4 linked regions of the Yarrowia lipolytica genome follow. The protein of the gene in region 4 purifies or fractionates together with the protein of the main gene of each other region. This does not show direct contact. Links are inferred from orthologs where the notes say so. Each region holds a gene or a part of one and is shown on either strand. Other genes may lie near its edges. The genes, in order: YALI1_D12483g, YALI1_C02831g, YALI1_F34928g and YALI1_B16584g.

The links.
Region 1: the proteins of YALI1_B16584g (region 4) and YALI1_D12483g purify together in Saccharomyces cerevisiae (affinity purification with western blotting; 14 studies listed by BioGRID, with this or other methods). This does not show direct contact. The link is inferred for Yarrowia lipolytica from reciprocal best matches to the Saccharomyces cerevisiae genes EPL1 and EAF3.
Region 2: the proteins of YALI1_B16584g (region 4) and YALI1_C02831g purify together in Saccharomyces cerevisiae (affinity purification with mass spectrometry; 15 studies listed by BioGRID, with this or other methods). This does not show direct contact. The link is inferred for Yarrowia lipolytica from reciprocal best matches to the Saccharomyces cerevisiae genes EPL1 and TRA1.
Region 3: the proteins of YALI1_B16584g (region 4) and YALI1_F34928g purify together in Saccharomyces cerevisiae (affinity purification with western blotting; 18 studies listed by BioGRID, with this or other methods). This does not show direct contact. The link is inferred for Yarrowia lipolytica from reciprocal best matches to the Saccharomyces cerevisiae genes EPL1 and ARP4.

The regions. Positions count from the first base shown.
Region 1 is NC_090773.1:1,246,639-1,250,250, forward strand, and holds YALI1_D12483g (uncharacterized protein), read right to left. Parts: upstream 1,721-3,612; coding exon 557-1,720; downstream 1-556. Other genes in the region: YALI1_D12447g (uncharacterized protein), read left to right, coding at 1-251; YALI1_D12493g (uncharacterized protein), read left to right, coding at 2,697-3,612. UniProt on the Saccharomyces cerevisiae protein: Component of the NuA4 histone acetyltransferase complex which is involved in transcriptional activation of selected genes principally by acetylation of nucleosomal histone H4 and H2A. The NuA4 complex is also involved in DNA repair.
Region 2 is NC_090772.1:281,163-286,192, forward strand, and holds the start of YALI1_C02831g (uncharacterized protein), read right to left. Parts: upstream 3,013-5,030; coding exon 2,949-3,012; intron 2,438-2,948; coding exon 2,274-2,437; intron 2,018-2,273; coding exon 1-2,017. UniProt on the Saccharomyces cerevisiae protein: Essential scaffold subunit of the transcription coactivator SAGA complex. SAGA acts as a general cofactor required for essentially all RNA polymerase II transcription.
Region 3 is NC_090775.1:3,491,010-3,494,728, forward strand, and holds YALI1_F34928g (uncharacterized protein), read right to left. Parts: upstream 1,844-3,719; coding exon 545-1,843; downstream 1-544. Other genes in the region: YALI1_F34895g (uncharacterized protein), read left to right, coding at 1-146; YALI1_F34933g (uncharacterized protein), read left to right, coding at 2,296-3,719. UniProt on the Saccharomyces cerevisiae protein: Chromatin interaction component of the NuA4 histone acetyltransferase complex which is involved in transcriptional activation of selected genes principally by acetylation of nucleosomal histone H4 and H2A. The NuA4 complex is also involved in DNA repair.
Region 4 is NC_090771.1:1,656,799-1,661,473, reverse strand, and holds YALI1_B16584g (uncharacterized protein), read right to left. Parts: upstream 3,060-4,675; coding exon 540-3,059; downstream 1-539. Other genes in the region: YALI1_B16578g (uncharacterized protein), read left to right, coding at 3,117-3,212, 3,281-3,542, 3,589-3,989; YALI1_B16572g (uncharacterized protein), read left to right, coding at 4,107-4,149, 4,202-4,536; YALI1_B16566g (uncharacterized protein), read left to right, coding at 4,629-4,675.

The sequences.
Region 1 (3,612 bases), on a different chromosome or scaffold from region 4:
CCCCTTCCATGGCATCAGCAGCCACCTTCCAGTCGTCTTACGACTCTCCAGTCAAAGCTTGCATTCCTGAGGCCCGTCCTGCCACTTATGAGACTAGTGTGAGCTCTTCTTTCATCCCCCCCTTGCAAATCAAGAAGCGGGTACCCTCTGGACCCCGGCCTGAAGGCTCGCATGTCCGACGACCTTCCCGGGAGTCTAGAAACATGCTTCCCGAGCTCGATCTTGATTTCGACTTTGGTTTGACGGCTTAAACCAAACTAGATTTCAACTTTTTTGACATTCACGCCTGCACCTCTCTTTTTATATATATAGTCTTTTTCTAAGCGCTTTTCTGTATTTATTGAATAAACAAAACGATTCCTTTCGCAAACTTGTGTCATTGTAGCACTTTACACCGTTACACCCACTGTTATACATGTATTGAGTAGTTAGCTAGCTATATGGTCAAACGTGATTAATCACCACCGACCAACGGCCTATGACAGATGATGTTGTCGGTAGGCCAGCTCGGAGGGAATCGCTGCGCGACTCTTTGCCTCGCTCTTCGTTTCTAACCCTAAAGACCCTTGGACAGAGCCTCGTATGCGGGCGAAGCATTTGTGTAAGCCTCCTTCAAAAAGTACGTTTTCTGGTGGGTCGACAGAAACCGCACAAAGTCCTCCAAGTGCTCCTTGAGCACCGCCACGCTTTGGGCATCCATGTTGGTCATAGCAATGAGCCCCGGGAGCGACACAAACAGCCGCAGCAGATGCTCCGCGCCGTAGACTTCGCTCATGGTCTTGTTGGAGTGGTCTGGGCTCTGGGTGATTTGTAGGTACTGCTCTCGCTCGAATCTGTAGAGCAAGATTGAGCCCAGCGAGCGATCAAAGTAGAGCTTGATTCCCGACACCACCTCGTTGAGAATATCGGCGTCGGCAGAGCCAGGTCTATATTTGGCCTCCGCCTCCTTTTTGAATTCCTTGAGAATGTCCACCACCGTCACCTTCCGGGGCAAGCCGACAAGCTGGTGGTCCTTGGTGACAAACTCCCAGTCGTCTACCAGCTGGGCCTTGAGCTTGTCGGGCACAACAAGCGCAATTTCCTTGCGTTTTAGATAGTCGTCTTCCTTCTCGAGGTCCTCCAGGGCAGCGAGTCCCCCTCGTCGTTTCACGGGACGGGGTCCCTCAGCAGGAGAGTCCTTTGATGCCATGGATTTGCGCTTTGTGGTTGGTGCCGGAGAGGCCGTTTCACTGAGCGCCTCGGGAGGAGCCAGGGCGTCAAAATCCTTGCCCTTCTTGGCCGCTGCTAGAGCCGCAGCCTTGAGCTCCTTCTGTAGCTTGATGTTGTCCTCGTTGAGAGCCAGTACCCGCTCCTCGCCGACCCACTCGTCCCACGTGTTTTTCCAGCCCTTGTAGTGCACGTAGTAGCAGATTTTGTCCTCGTTTTCGTCGGCCAGATCTGCGGGCACGTCAGGTTTCCCTTCCTTTGGACTAAAGTGTCGGTTTTTGTCGTTGGAGTCGTCTCCATCGGGCGTTGCGCCCGCAGCAGGAAGAGAGGCGCGAGGACCCCGCTTGCGCTTGTGAGTGTTGACCACGTTTCCGATCTCAACCGTGGGCGGAAGCCCGTCCTCCACCTTGGCCTTAGAGCCGCGTTTGGAGGGGTCGTAAGACATGAGGATCTTTGCTTCGTAGAGCAGCGGACCATGGTACGCCAGGCACCGCGAATTGGTGGCTAGAACCATGATTGCGGAGATTGTGTGTATGTGGGTTGGTGGTGAAGTAGGAGGAGCGTCCTAAAGTGGTGATATAGAGTTGGCGAGTTAGTAGCGCAAGTACGCGTGAAAAATACAACGAGAGGAGGAAGAAGGTGAGGTTGAGAGTGTATGGCGTGAGAAAAGAAACGAGAACGTTTTTTTTACCCGGTGGATGAGTGTGTTTTCAGCAAATATTAGTTTGTATACGCCGTTTCGATACTCCTAATCTGTGTGTCAGGGTTGTGGAAGAGTGAAAAACATGCGCTACTGTGTTGCTGTGTATTGGCGCAATGGCTACCTGGAGCTTTTGTTGTGTATTGAGATTGTCGGTTGAGCTGGTTATAGTAGCTTAAACAGCCCCCTGAGATCTTCTATCCTCTTTTTGAGGGCTCTGAGTGGTTCCCTACACTGCTCAAAAGTCATTCAAACGCTTAACTAAACCCAAGTAAATGATAACCTAAATAATTTACATAAACCAAGATATCTTGCAATATTTCTATATGGCTACAAGGTTTTTTTTATGTCATTTGAAAGAGACTCTTTGGTTACATGTTTTTATTTGACTCTTGTAACTCTCGTATAACTGGAACCTCGAATTTGAACCCCCAGCCGACTTTTTTCTTCAACTAATCCCAAGTAAAAAACAACCTTTTCTAAAAATCCTAAAAAAAGACGGTTGGTAGATTGTCAACTGAGCATCACAACCAGCGAAAACTTGCGGGGCGGGTTTAAGGGACCAATTGCATAGAGACATATTTTTAACATCATTAGCAACTATATAAATCCACCCATCGCCTACGATACTTTTTTCCAATCGTGACTACGAGTGTCGTGCCACCAATATGAAAGACTACGCCGCACGCATGACCCCACTTGGTTACTGTAGTAGTACTCCCAACCGTTGGTAAGGCGATACACCCCGACCATCTAACCTGAAAAGGCGCCTAAAATATCTTTTTTCAGCATGCACGAAGTCACAGTGGTAGGAGCGGGTCTTGTGGGCTGTCTGGCGGCTCTGGCATTCGCAGATCGCGGCCACAAGGTGGCGCTTTACGATGCTCGTCCTGATCTCCGGTCCGAGGCGGAGCTCAAAAACGCCTCGTTGCGATCCATTAACCTGGCTGTGTCTGCTCGAGGCATCGAGGCACTCAGATCTGTCGACACCAAGATGGCCGAGCGAGTGCTGGCCGACATTATCCCCATGTACGGTCGTATGATCCACGATCTCCAGGGAGGACAACATGCTCAGGCTTACGGCCTATGGGGCGAGTGTATCAACTCGATTGACCGAGCCCAGCTCAACCGAACCATGCTGGACGTGATTGAAGATAACGCCAACATCACCTTCTTCCCCGAGCACAAACTAACCAACATTTCGCTCAGCCGAAAGGACAAAAAGTACCAGCGACCGACATCGACTTTTGAGACCAAGGAGGGCGAAGAGAGGGTCGTGGAAAGTGACTACATTATTGGAGCAGATGGAGCCTTCAGCAAGACCAGAGATCGACTCCAGCGATACGTCCGAATGAACTACGCCCAGCAGTACATTGACTGTGTCTACCTGGAACTCAAGATCCCCAAGGCCGACGGACCCGATCCGTTTTCCATCTCGCCCAACCACCTGCACATTTGGCCCCGACACAAATACATGCTCATTGCACTGGCCAACGGTGATGGCTCGTTCACATCTACGCTGTTTGCTCCCCCGGCGCTCATGGAACAGGTGTGTGAATCCCAAAACACCTTCATTTCCTTCTTCAAGGAGCAGTTCCCAGACGCATACGAGCTGATGGGCGAGTCTCAGATTCTGGAGTCGTACGAAAACAACCCCCGGTCCCCCCTGGTGTCCCTTAAGTGCTCTCCTTATAATCACAAGGGCG
Region 2 (5,030 bases), on a different chromosome or scaffold from region 4:
ACAGCTTGAAGAGCCGGATCAGAATGTTTGATTTTTGAATGTTTCCGTCTCCGAGCTCAGGGAGCTTCTCCTTCAGAAACGAAATCAGCAACGAAGAGAAGTTGGCAGAAGTAGCTTCGGAAGCCATGAAGAATTGGGGGATGTGAAGCAGTGCAGAATTGGAGAACATGGCGTCGTAGAGAAAGGGGAGCTCGCTCTCGATGATCTCGTTGAACGACGCCGAGTCAATGTGAATGAACACGGTCACAAATGTCTCCATGAGATCCTTCTCGGCTTTGGAACTGACCACAGGCAGCGAGGGGGCACCGAGGTCGTTGTTGGCGACCGTAGCGGTCTTGTCGGTCACGTGAGAGGCGAAAAACAGATGACCCTTGATGCCCTCCTCAAACAGCTTGCGGAAGATAGTAATTTGCTCAAAGTTGAACAGTCGGGCGGACTCGTTCCACACAGCCTCGCTAATGTCGGCAATTGGACATGGTGGGTTGCACGACTTGAGGCCAAACATGACCGTTTTGAGGAAGTTCATGAGGTTCTTGAACAAGTAACGGGCGTCCTCGAGGGGATCCGTCGTGGGAGTAGGGTGAATCTTGATCAGCGACGACGCCTGGATCTCAAAGTAGTCAAAGTCGTACTCGGATTCGATCCGGGGCTTCTGCGGGACGACATCGTTGGACTCGACCTCGTCGACTTCTAGGTCCTCGGCCTTGCGTTTGAGCCCAGATGACTCAGCAGAGGTTCCCAGCTTCACGTCAACCTGGATGTCCTCCTCGGGCTTGACTTCAGCAATGGGTTTGTCTCCACCTTCAGCCTTCTTCTCAGCCTGCTCTTTCAGCCACCGCTCGTGGCCCCTCATGACATTGGGATATGTTCTGTTGAGGGCACCGAAGAGCTCTGTGAAGGCATTCAGAATCAATACCATGGTCTGACGGCCCTCGTTGCGATCCTGCAGCTTCATGATCGGGTCCACAAGGTTCAGGAGCAGCTTGGCACTCATAATCTGGAACGAGTTGGCCAGCGACGCGTCCAGCATATTGGCGCAGTACACCTTGACAGTCTTCCAGATTTGCTGGAGCGTCAATTCGCTGCGCACGTGGTGAATGAGATCCGCCATGATAGAGTATGCCAGCGGCTTGAGCGTTTCTCTGACTGTCAGACCATCACCAATCAACACCCGCTCCTCCAGCAGAATGTCAATTTTGGGGATGAACATGGTCCTTATATCCGTCGACGTAATGTGTCGAGCGGCGACCAGGAGCTCCTTTCGAGCGGCGGAAAGCTCGCAGGGGCAGTCCTGAAGAAGACGCACCACGAGATCGGGAATGATCACGTGATATTCCTGCAGAAACGGCGGGAAGCCTCGCAGCGCGTATGCCAGAAACGACATGGTCTTGACCTGGCAGGTGATGAAGTCGCCGTAAGCCGCGCGGTTGCGGATCTGGGGCGAGATGGTCGTCAGGATATCGCCACGAGCCTCGGCCTGGGCATGGGCCTCGGCCTGGGGAGGGGCTTGAATTCTCAGCATCTCAATCACGTGAGGCAGGAACTGAGGCAAGAGTGTGGGCACCATGGCTCTGTGGGTGGAGAAGAGCAGTACCACAATGATGGGGCACTCAATGAGCACCTTGAATGAGAACAACGACTTGGCCAGGGGGCGAGAAGCTGCTCCGCCAGGTGTGGCGACGCTCACGTCTCCGTCAGAGACTAGAGACGGCGACATGGGGGACTGGAAGTTTGAGGAGCCGGTCTGGTTGACGCCAAACGTGTCCTTGACGACCGAGGGGATGTTCTTGTAGAGGTCGGTGACGAGCTCAAGGAACTGGGTCACGTGGTCGCCGCCCAGGTGCGCCTTGTAGCCCTTGTGCAGGGCCGTGAGGATTTTCATACATGTCACTCCGTTTTCTTCGTTGTCGGTACGGAGGATGGACATGATTTGCTCCAACAGAGCGGAGGAGTAGGGTTTGAGGAGATCGTTGGTTTGTAGACGAAGGAGTATTTCGAGGATCGATGATCGGAGTTTCTGAGTTAGTACGGGAGGTGGGGTGAGTGACTAAGTGAAGAAAGGCAGACATACTGAGAGCCATAGTGGCAGATGTCATTCATCAACAGCAGCAACAACTGTGACAGTATCCTCCAGTCCATATTAGTCACTCCTCATCTCTGAGATTGAACCAGGAACCGAGTGAGATGAGAGGTGATTGTTGTATCTCGTGTGTCGTCTGCATTTATCAGGTTTTTCTCTTGCCATTCCTCTAGAATGATTCTATCGTACTCACTTGCTCGACGGAAATACTCGTGAAAGACACGGGGGTGGACTCCAAGATTTTGGTGTATACCGGCATCATCTTCTGCAGATAGTATTCGTAGTCTGCGGGGGAAGATTGAAATGAATCAACGGCATCTCGGAGTTCTGACGCAGCGACTACTTTTGATTTTAGGTCTGGGTTAGCGGAGTTCAATGGAGCTCCAAGAGCGAATGGATGAAAGGGCAGAGCGACGATATGTTGCTCTCGAGATGATGGCGATATGTAGCGACGAGAATGCCAAACCGAACGATTTAGACCGGTGAAGGACGATATGACAGACAGTGTAGCATGCATGGGCGAATGGACGCTGGAACGGACGAATATGAAGTGCTACAGTAAAAGTGGCAGAGTCCGTGGTGAGGAACACTGTTATGCCAGCCTTTCAAAAGTAGCAGAGCCCATAGTGTCGACCACTGGTGTTATGCCAGCGTCTCTACAGACAATTCTCACTGACCATCACAACACCACATCCATTTCGCCCAAAAACCGTCGAATGAGCTCAAAAAAACGTGATCCTGGCTCGTCTCCATCGTGTTATTCACCCTATCCACCTCTTTTGTCACTCAGACGTCTCCTTCGCATTTTGTCGAGTTCCATCACTGGGTGTCTCACACCTCTCCGCCTCTTCACCTGCTCAATACTCACCGGAATCATCGCTCAGACGGCTGTGGAACGCATCAACTTGCGCCTGGGTTGAAGCGTCGCGCATTTTGGGCTGTGACGGGCTCAAAAACGATGTGGAAATGTGATGTGTGGAGCAAAAGAGACTACCGAAATGTTCGTGAACACCAACTGGGACATGCACCTTGTGAAATTTCCTTACGTAAGCGTGTATAGGGTTGAAAACCGATAAATGGCGAGTGGGGGGCGGTTTTTTCAAAATTGAAAAGATTTTCCCGTGATATAAGCGATTTCGAGTCGATCTGTATATTGAGATTTTCAATAGCTCGTCAGCAACACATCCGAATGCCCGTCTCCAATTTCGTGTTTAGCTTTCCCTTCTGGTCAGTGGCTGGGAAAGTTTAATTTTTCTATGAGAAAAGTGATCACCCTCGTTAAGGACCAAATATTGGGTGGATTGAAAATCTGAGTGGATTTATGGAATCAGCGTATCTTGAGCTCCTCCCCGATACCAAATTTGAAGGTAAAAATCAAGAATTTTGGCTGATAATGGCAACGTCTGGAATCTGACAAAAATGTGGGAACCCCGTTTGTGAAATTTGCTTATGTAATCGTACATAAGGTTTCGAACATTTAGACGAGAGAAGGCATCTCTTAGTAAGCGTGTACCAATTGTCTGGCGCTTAGTAAGCACGTCCTACCAAAATGCCGTAGTGAGGGTGGGGAGGGAAAAAGAGAGGTGACGCTTACTTACTTGCGTCTAGCACACTCCGATACGGGGAATCGAACCCCGGTCTCCACGGTTCTCGACTTGAGAGCGTGATGTGATAGCCCCTACACTATATCGGACTGTTTTGTTCCGGAGGAGGATGCAGGGTAGATGTGAAAGACGGGTTTTGGGGCGACATAAAAAAACGGAAAAAGTGGGATAATGGAAAGGGGAGTTGATTATAAGGTTCCACTCGAGTTTTTGAAGTTGTGAGGGTGTTTTTTTGAGAATCTGGGGTGTTTTTTGACGGAGTTGAGGTCAGTGGAGGTTGAGCAGGGCTGGATAGGAGATGGGGAAGCAGGATATGACAGAAGATGGGAACAGGACTTGATGACTTGATGAGGTGATCAAACCCGCTCCGCTGAATCAATTGTGATTGTCGGATTTACTATAGAAGCTGTGGATGAGGAGATAGATGAGCGATGTGTGTTTGGAAGATGAAGGTGAACTTGTATACTGCACCCTTAGATAAGTCTCTGTTACGTAATCAGATTGTATGGCAGCAGAATGTTGGGAATTCAGTTGTTTTGTGGTTTCCACTCAGACATTTTCATACACTTTTCATCTACATTCTGGTCTATACACGGTCGGATCAGCTCTCATATTCCGACTCATTTTTGAGGGCACAATTTCCGAGCCGCATGAGCAAAAGGCGAGATATCTAGGAGATAAAAACCAGTAAAGCATTGGAGGAATACCCTGGAAGGAAAAAAATAGACCCGTTCTCGCTGTGTGGAATTCAAAAAAATCACTGATCAGCTAGAAGCTAGGGGAATTAAACCCCCATATGTTCCTCCACTGTCAGTTCTGTTAGAACTTGACATGGACAGGAATTGAACCTGCAACCCTTCGATTACAACCAAGTTGACTGGAGTCGAAAGCTCTACCATTGAGCCACCACATCAGTGATATTATAATTTTTTTCTGTTTGGACCCAGCTACAGTGAAATCTGGCTTTTTTTCCCCCATTCATTTTTCTGGCCTTACAGGGCGTAATGGGCGAGGGGACTGATTGTGGAAAGTTGCAGAGGGCTCTATATACATTCACACATACAAAAACCTCGATAAATGTTGATCTGATGCCTCTGGGGGTTGTTTTTGTTGGGGAGAGGAGAGAATGTTGTATCAACGACAGCAGAAGGACTAGAATAAAACAAAACAAAAAACACGTGTTTCAAGTGGAAGATTTTAACGGGAAATTCGATTAGAAGATGAAAGGAAAGGTGTGAAAGCTGTCGTCATGCTGTTGGATGATTTTCCCCATTCAGGAGGGTATTATCTCCATTAATGTCAACTAAATGTAACTATACTCATGAAGAGAACTAGGCATTGATACA
Region 3 (3,719 bases), on a different chromosome or scaffold from region 4:
AGCTGTTTGAGTACAAGTGGGACAGGATTCCGGGAGCCAAGGTCAACTTTCTGGACAAGTGCTCGTACCTCAAGTCCCGACGTCAGAAGCTTGTCGAGCATGTCATGAAGGGTATGGAGGAGCGCAACTGGAAGTTTTTGAACTGATCATGGGATTAAGCATTGAGATAACTGCAAATAGGAATAGCATATTTATTATTATCTGCACTGAACGAGGATGAATGGACCGTTCAGTTTTCGTAATGTGAACAATTTACTTATAGCGAGCTGAGGAAGAACGGGGCGGTTGTACGATACCATCGTACAAGCAGTAAACATGTATCTCTAGTTGTAGATATTACAGTACATACTGTATGATTAATCATGAAGAAAGTAAAAGTAGCCACTGCTGCGTACTACAAGGTATTGTACGCATGTACAGTATGTACATAGTGTACAAGTGTAAGTACAGTATGTACAGGATGTACCTATAGAATACCGACTGTGACAAGAACTTATTGCCATTAAATAATACATTCCATCTATACAATCTTAGTTCTAGTCCTTTACTTGAACCGCTTCTTTTCGACCAAATAGTCTCCTCCCTTCTCCTGCCACTCCTGTTTGCTGACCCACAGCTGATGGAACGATCCCAGGCTGCCCAAAACAGAACCGCCAATCCAAGCACCGTGTCGTCGCTCCTCCTGGTTGGAAGCAGCAGCAACTCGGACCTTAAGACCACTCAGGGCCTGGGTCACGTCCTTACTGACTCTATCACTGAGACCCTGAACCAGCGACCCTCCACCAGTGATAACAATGTTGTTAGCCAGGTGAGCCCTCACATCCACGTTGGAAGCGTTGATTGTGTCCACCACCATCTCACTGAGTCCCCGCGCAGTATCTGGCACAGTCTCTCCGTCAAAAGGGTACTCACTGGGCTTGAATAAGCTCTCAGAAGTAGACAGACGGTCTGCTCCGAAAGTTGTGCTGTAGCCCGTGGGGAACTCGAAGACCCGGTCGGCGGCTTCACCAGAGATTTCTGGAGTCAGGGGAACATCGTTCACCTGACACATGGAGTCCTTGAACTCAGAGAGAATACGAGACACCTGCAGATCAGTGAAGGAATGAGTGACGTTGGGAAGCTCCCGCTTGGTGAACACAGGTGGCTCACCCATCTCCACAGCCTTCTTGTTCTTAATCTCGAACCGAGGAGTGAGATCGATTCCTCGTGAAACAAGCACCTTTTTAATCTGTCTATCCAAATAGTCTCCAGCGTACTGTGACCGTCGCGCGGGCTTGTAAAGCACCAATCCATCAATGACAGGTGTCACAGAAGCCACTTCAGATCCTACATCCAGTACCAGTGCGTTTCCCTTTCCTGCAGCAAACGCAGAAGCCACAGCGTCCTTGACCAAGTACGATGCCGGGACCTCGAGGCTCTCGAACGCGATTTCAAGCGCCTTGAGCTTGTTGGCCTGCGTGTTCCAGCACGGCTCCGTCAGCATCAATGGGTGTGTCTTTGTGTCGGCATTGAGTCGAGCCAGCGAGTATTCCCAAATATTCTGCACCGCGTCCCAATCAGCCACAATCCCGTCGGTAAGAGGATGAAGCACCTCCATGTTGGGCAGTGGCAGATTGGCGGAGTCGCCAACCTTGTACTTGTTTAATTTTTTGGTTGTGTTGCTTGTATCGTCCTCCATCTCGACATCCTCGTCTGCCATCAGTCCACACTCTGTGGAAACCACCAGTTTGGGGGTATCTTCTCCGGCGTATCCGACTCGAGTGTACGACGACCCGGTGTCGATCACCAGGGTCGCCACCTCATCGCCTCCATACACCTGGGGGGCTGGAGCTGTTGTAGTCATGATGGGTGGTGTGTCGTCTTCAGATGGTAGTATGTATGGGGTACCAGTCTGTACGTGATATTTGATGGTGGAGAGTGTGACTGATCGTGCGTTCGAGTTTCGTTAATGCACGAAAATAACATTGGTTAGAGTTAATTAAGTCGAGGCCGAAACAAAAATTAACATGAGACTCAGTAGCACGAGACTACAGTTCGAAACGGCAACAAAAGGAGCAATTTCAAAGGCGAAAGCGCGAATATAATCTTCGAGACCGGCTGATCAAATATATTTCTCAAATCCCCACAATATCCCGTCTTGACAGTGACAAAACATTGTCCTCCATCCCAGGCACCTAGACAAACCTCCCAACAGGGTAAGGGCACCTGCACCCAATCAAAAGCCACCCTTGCTATTGCTGTTCCTCACCACACAAGGTCTGTACTGAACAGAAAAAAACCTCGACCAAACACACAATGATCAGAGCTACAGCCATGCACCGGTCAATTGTGCAGCGTCGCATGCTGAGCACCGCCTCTCGGCTCCAGCAGGCCGCCAAGCCCGCTACCGGCTCCACTGTTGGAACAGCCAATGGCGCCTCTGCTGCCTCGGGCAAGCCTCCCGGAGCCACCTTTGAGGGAGCCTCCAAGCAGAAGAAGAAGACTCACAAGTTCCGAAACTTTGTGCTGCTCTCCACCTTTGTCGGCGCCGGCGCCTTTGCCGGAGGTGTTTATTACTCCCTTCAGAACGACCAGTTCCAGAGCCTGTTTGTCGAGTACGTGCCCGCGGCCGAGCACGCCATCAACTACATTGAGGAGCAGCAGCTGCGATCCGGCCGACTCAAGATCGCGACTCCCACCTCCAAGCATGACGTTGACCAGTCCACCGTCCGAGTGCCCAAGTCCGGTGCTACCTGGCGAGCGGTCGACTCCACCGATGCTGCTACTTCTGCCAAGTCTGCATCTTCTCCCGCTGCCAACGTGGCCAAGGACGTCGCTTCCCCCGCTCCTGCTGCCACCGCCTCCCCTGTCTCTAGTGGTTCCCCCAAGACTGACAACACCACCGTGCCCGCTGTGCGACTGGCTAACGACTCTGACCCCGCCGTCAAGGCCGCCGTCCAGACCTTCAATGATCTGATCGCCGTGGCCCCCTCTGGTGCCGCCAAGCAGCTCTCCGCCAAGGTCTCCACCGTGGTCGACCAGCTGCAGCACAACGTGGCCCAGATCAAGTCTGAGGCCGCCGAGGAAGCTAAGAACTCCATCAACAAGCTCAACAGCGAGCTGGCCAAGCTCAAGGCTTCCACCGGCGAGGAAATCTCGTCTAAGGTGTCTGCCGCCGAGCAGCAGCTGCGAAACGAGTTTGCCGCTCTGCGAGCCCACTCTGAGAAGGTCTACCACGACCGTCTCCGAGTCGAGATTGAGGCCACCAAGTCCCTTGTTTCTTCTCACGCCAACAACCTGATTCAGGCCGTCGAGGCCGAGCGACAAAAGCAGTACGCCCAGGAGATTGCCGAGCGAGTCGAAACCGAGCGAGAGGGCCGTCTCTCCAAGCTCAAGGACCTCCAGACTTCCCTCACCCAGCTGCAGGACCTGGCTCTCAAGACCGAGCAGGCCGTTGACGCCTCCGGCCGAACCGCAGCTCTGCATCTTGCCATCGCTAAGCTCACCGGTGCTCTCAAGGGTTCCGAGCCCGTGGCCCTCGGCCCTTACGTCGAGTCCATCCGACGGGCTGCTGGTGACGATCCTCTGCTGCAGGCCGCTCTGGACTCTATTCCCGAGGTCGCTCAGACCGAGGGAGTTCTTACCCCTGCCCAGCTTACCATTCGATTCAAGCTGCTCGAGCCTGAGCTACGAAAGTCCTCTCTGGTTCCTGTTAACGCCGGTGTCGCCGGTCATCTGGG
Region 4 (4,675 bases):
AAGTACTTAGCTACAGGTAGAACACCTTACATTAGACTACGAGTACAAGTACTTGTACGACCACTCTACCCTTGCCAAAATAGCCCCAAATCAAGGCAGGGTGGAATCTGAAACAAGCATCTTGGCTCATAATTAGCGGTCTCTATAGTTCAATACATAAAACGAATCGCCAAATCAAGTCGGCTCAGATATGCGTTTTTCGATATCTCTTCAATCAAATTCAAACCAGAGTGAGTGACATCAACACAAAGCTTGCCCTGCACGTCTGTCATATTGCAGTCACAGTGCAGATTGATAACAAAGTTGACAGATTACAAATGTCGTCGTTATCAGCAGCTGCCACAATACAATAAAACCCCCCCCTAACTTCAAACACAATGCTCCCCGGTCGAAATACAAGTACAATGAAACCAAATCTCCAGGACATGTGCATACAGTGATACAGCACATGCTCGCCTCACCAGTAAATCCACTACAATATCAAATAAGAATACACCATGGGTGCTCATAAATCATCATTACTATATACAGTCTTCTCTTTACGCATCCACCTTTGCCAACTCAGATTTCTGCTTCATGTCTCCTCCAGGCATCATCCGCTGACTCATGCCATTCGGAAGAACCCCATTGGCCATGGCCCCTCCGTTGGGCAGTCCGTTGAATCGTTGACCATCAGGACTGCCACTAGATCGCCGAGGTTGAGCGGCCATCGCTGCAGCCGCGGAAGCTGCATTCATAGGAGCGACTCCCATTTTACGCTGTTGTTGCTGCTGTTGCTGCTGCTGTTGTTGTTGCTGCATCTGTTGATATTGTTGATGTTGGCTGGGCGTCATACCTTGCTTGTTGTAGCCCATGGGAGCGGCATTGTGCATCTTGGACTGAGGGCCATTAGTACCGGGAGCAGGACTGTTGTTGCGACTGCCGCCAGCTCCTCCTCCGGCTCCTTGACCACCTCCTAGACCGGCCCCTGGGTCGCCCGGGGGGTGAGATTGTTGCCGGTTTCGCATCTGTTGCTGTTGCTGCTGCTGAAGAATCTGCTGCTGTAGCATCATCAACTGCTGCTGGCGCTGCTGGAACACCTCGCGGTAGTTCTCGTAGGCCTTGGACAGCAGCATGGAGCCAAACCGAATTGACTGTGTGTCCGACGAAATGCCATTCAGCTGAGACGGGTCCTTGTCGTAGCTGGACATTTGCCGCGTCGGCTCTGTCTCTCGATCGTACTTTTGCCGGTCTGCCAGTCGCTCCATGGCAACCTCGTCTGCCTCACTCTCGGCAGTGTCGTCCAGGGAGTTTTTGGCCAGACTGCTGGGCTTGAGCACAGTGTTGCGCTGCAGGCCTCGCCGGTCCATCCACATCCGTCCTCCTCGACCAACACGCTTTCGCATGGACATAAAAGAAGACCGGGGAATAACACGGTCCACAGGTGACGAAGTAGATGTTGCATCTGATAATCGCAACTCCCCATCATCTCCCACAATAGCACCATACACCTGAGCATCTGCAAAGGGCTTGTTGCCAACCATACTGGCGAGATCCTTGTTGAAGTCGCTCTTGGTGGTGTACCGGTGGCTGGCGTTGTGCTTCTCAAAGTAAGCCATCTCATTGATAGACGAGTACTGAGGCACAGGAGGCTCACCAGAAGAAGATACCTCAGCGTTCAAGTACTCGCAGTAAGGAATGTAGCCCGAGTTTGTGAGATTGTGCCAGTCGCGGTCTGCATCTGCTCGAAGTCGTAGCTTCTCGCGCACCGCCTTTGCAATCGCCTCGTCCTTGTCTCGCACAACTTGGGCAATAGTGATGAGGTCCATGTTGGGGATCTTGGACGGTGGAATGGACACATTTGGTGGCACATGTGTGGAAGACACGGAAGGCGAACCCGAGCCTGCAGCAGCAGCCTGTGCAGCAGCGGCCTGGGCAGAAGCAGCAGAGCCAGCGGCCTTGCCTCCTCGAACAGGAGTAGATGCCTTCTCCGCTTTTTCCTCCTTCTTGGGCTCCACCTTTCGCTTCTTTTGAGCCACCAGATCCTCATCCTCACCTTTGATGCCCAACTCTCGCTTGAGAGTCTTGATGGCGCATCTGTCCTCGAACACATCCCATTCAGCCTTGAGAGCAGCCTTGCGAGTAAATTCTCGCGTGGCAACCATCTCCACCAGCTGCTTGGCGGTTTCCATCTCTGCCTGCATGCGCCGTAGTCGCTCGATGCTCAACACGTCCGTACGACGAGTCTTTCGCACCTGCCGCAACTCTCGGCGTCGGAAACACACATATGGGTCACTGTCGTCCTTCTCATGATCCTCAAATTTTAGGTGGGGCACAATGGACTGGCCTTTGCGTTCCACCTTGCGTGCTCGCCAGTGTGGATAGATGACAGCGCCGATCTTCTTGAACGTTGCCAGAAACGCCTTACCCTCATTCTTACCCTTAGTACCATTCACAGTGATGCCTAGAGAAGACTGCAACTGCGCCAAAATGTATTCCGGCGACGTTGGGTCCTCCTGAACCTGCCGAATACCATCTTCAATGTGCTGGGCCATCTCCTCAAACGACAGAAGGTTCGACACGTCGATGGACACAAACGGTTGTTTTTCGCTGATGGTCACCTCGAATCTGTGCATCACCTCCTCGAAGTCGTCTTCCGATATTGGCGGCTTGCACGTCTTGAGAAACTCTGCATCTTCATCATCCATGTTGTAGAGACATCCGGAGGTCTCTTCGACCGTCACACTCGTCCGGATGTAACTGGCGGGCTCATGAAACGACGAAGAGTAGAACCGGTCATACTCCTTCCACACCTGCGACGCATCTGGGGTGGGAATGTAGATTTTCTCCACCTTTGCGCCGGTGCTCTGGGCTATCGATGAGTTGATGGCCGCCTGCAGATGGTGCTCCTCCTCCTCGCCCTTCTCCACTCCCGTCTCAATCTGTTGCAGCTCGCGCTGCTGCTCCTCCTCAAGGTCTGGGATGTCAGACTGCTTGAGTACCGCCAGCGTCTGCTTGACGCTGATTTTCCGCTGGCGGAAGCGTGCCGACGAACCGGCCGCCTTGGCTGCCTTGGCCATTCTTGGTGGAGTCGTATGGGAACGCTTTAAGCGTGGTTGCTGTGTGTGTTGTTGGTGATGTCTTTTTTTAGTGTCGCCCTGTTAATCCTCCCCTGTAAAAAAATGCGCGTGTCACGGTGTCTGCGAAGTTTTAAAAATAAAAGAGCAGGGAAAGTAGGCCGAAAATGGGGGCAAAAAGAGCGCTGAAAAGAGGTCTGGTCAGGGCCGGTGTCTTACAGTAGTGTCTGCTCTTGCTTGCTGTCGTTTTTTCGTCCGCTCCACTCCTCCTCCTCGCAGTCTCGTCGATAATTTCTGGTGATAATCCGCCTAGAAAAATTTGCACATTTCGTCGCCGCTCCTTATTGGCCCGTTGTTGCCACTGGGACAACTCTTACCCCGCAATAGGAAATCTAGGGCTAGGGTATATGATTGTTGGGACTTGTTACGTCAGAACCTGCCCGAGTCTAAGCACAGGAGAGCTGGTCGTAAAGCCAAAAAGAGGGGGTTAATTTGCCACCGAAGGGGGTTACGTGTCGCAATCGAACGTCAGTCAGCTGGTTCGTAACAAGGCTGTTGGCGCAAATAAAATCAAATAGTTCGCCGCGGGTGAGATTTCAATGCTCAGTGGGTCGTTGTCTGTGCAAGTCGTCTTTCTCAGATGTCGGTAACGATGTTGTTGTGTGGTGCCCACTTGGTGTCGTTGCCGTCGTCGGTGTTGTGTTGTGTTATGTCGTGCACAGTGTGCCGTGTGTCTCGTGTGTGTGTGTGTGTGTAATGTTGATTGACAGCAGCCTCCACAAAGAGTTGCAAGGGGGGTGTGGTGTGTTTGGTTTCCCGACCCAGAATAGGCTTTTACTTCCTCCCAACGAACAAACTCTAACGAAACTCCCAGCACACACCAAAATCCCAGATATTATCTGGCAGTTTGGCATCCCATACTCATACTCGTAGTCCCCTCGTCAAACCCAAAGCCCTAACCCGGCGCTCCCAATTCGGCCAGCGTTCTGAGGATGGGTGGAAATAGCGCCAGTGTGGTGGGTTGATCAGGTGGAAGTCAAGAGGTCGGAAATGGGCCAGTCGGGCACAGGACCTCAGGAGTGCGTCGTACTGAGTGTCTCGGGGCCACTGTGGAGTCGAAGAGGTGCTCGTGACCGAAACGTGAGTCCCTCAGCGCCACACTGACCGGGTGCCCATACCGGGACCCCCAGACAGTACCCCAAGGAGACGCCAGCGGTGCGAATTGGCACAAAGCCAAGTCCACCGGATTGTGGGGACTCTGCCATGTCAAAGCAAGCAGGAATTCCATCACTTTTGCGGTACTTTTTCTCGCTCCGATTTGGCCACCTTTGTAGGTAAAATTGCCAGGTTCCAGTTACATCAGAGAATGGTGGAGAGGGGACGAAAACACACGGGGGTTGTAGACTCACTTTGGGCAGCACACACTGAGCGGTGTGGCCGTTTTTATCGCTGGTTAGTTATCTTTTGGTGGACATTCTGATGTGTGGTGTGTGGGGTAGAAGAGTGAGAAGAGAAGTGAAAGTAAAAGTGCATTGAGAGTGCACGGTGCAAGAGCCAGTCAGTCGGGACCTGATGACACTAAGTCTTATGGGTAGGAAAATGGGGCAAAAAGGACTCCT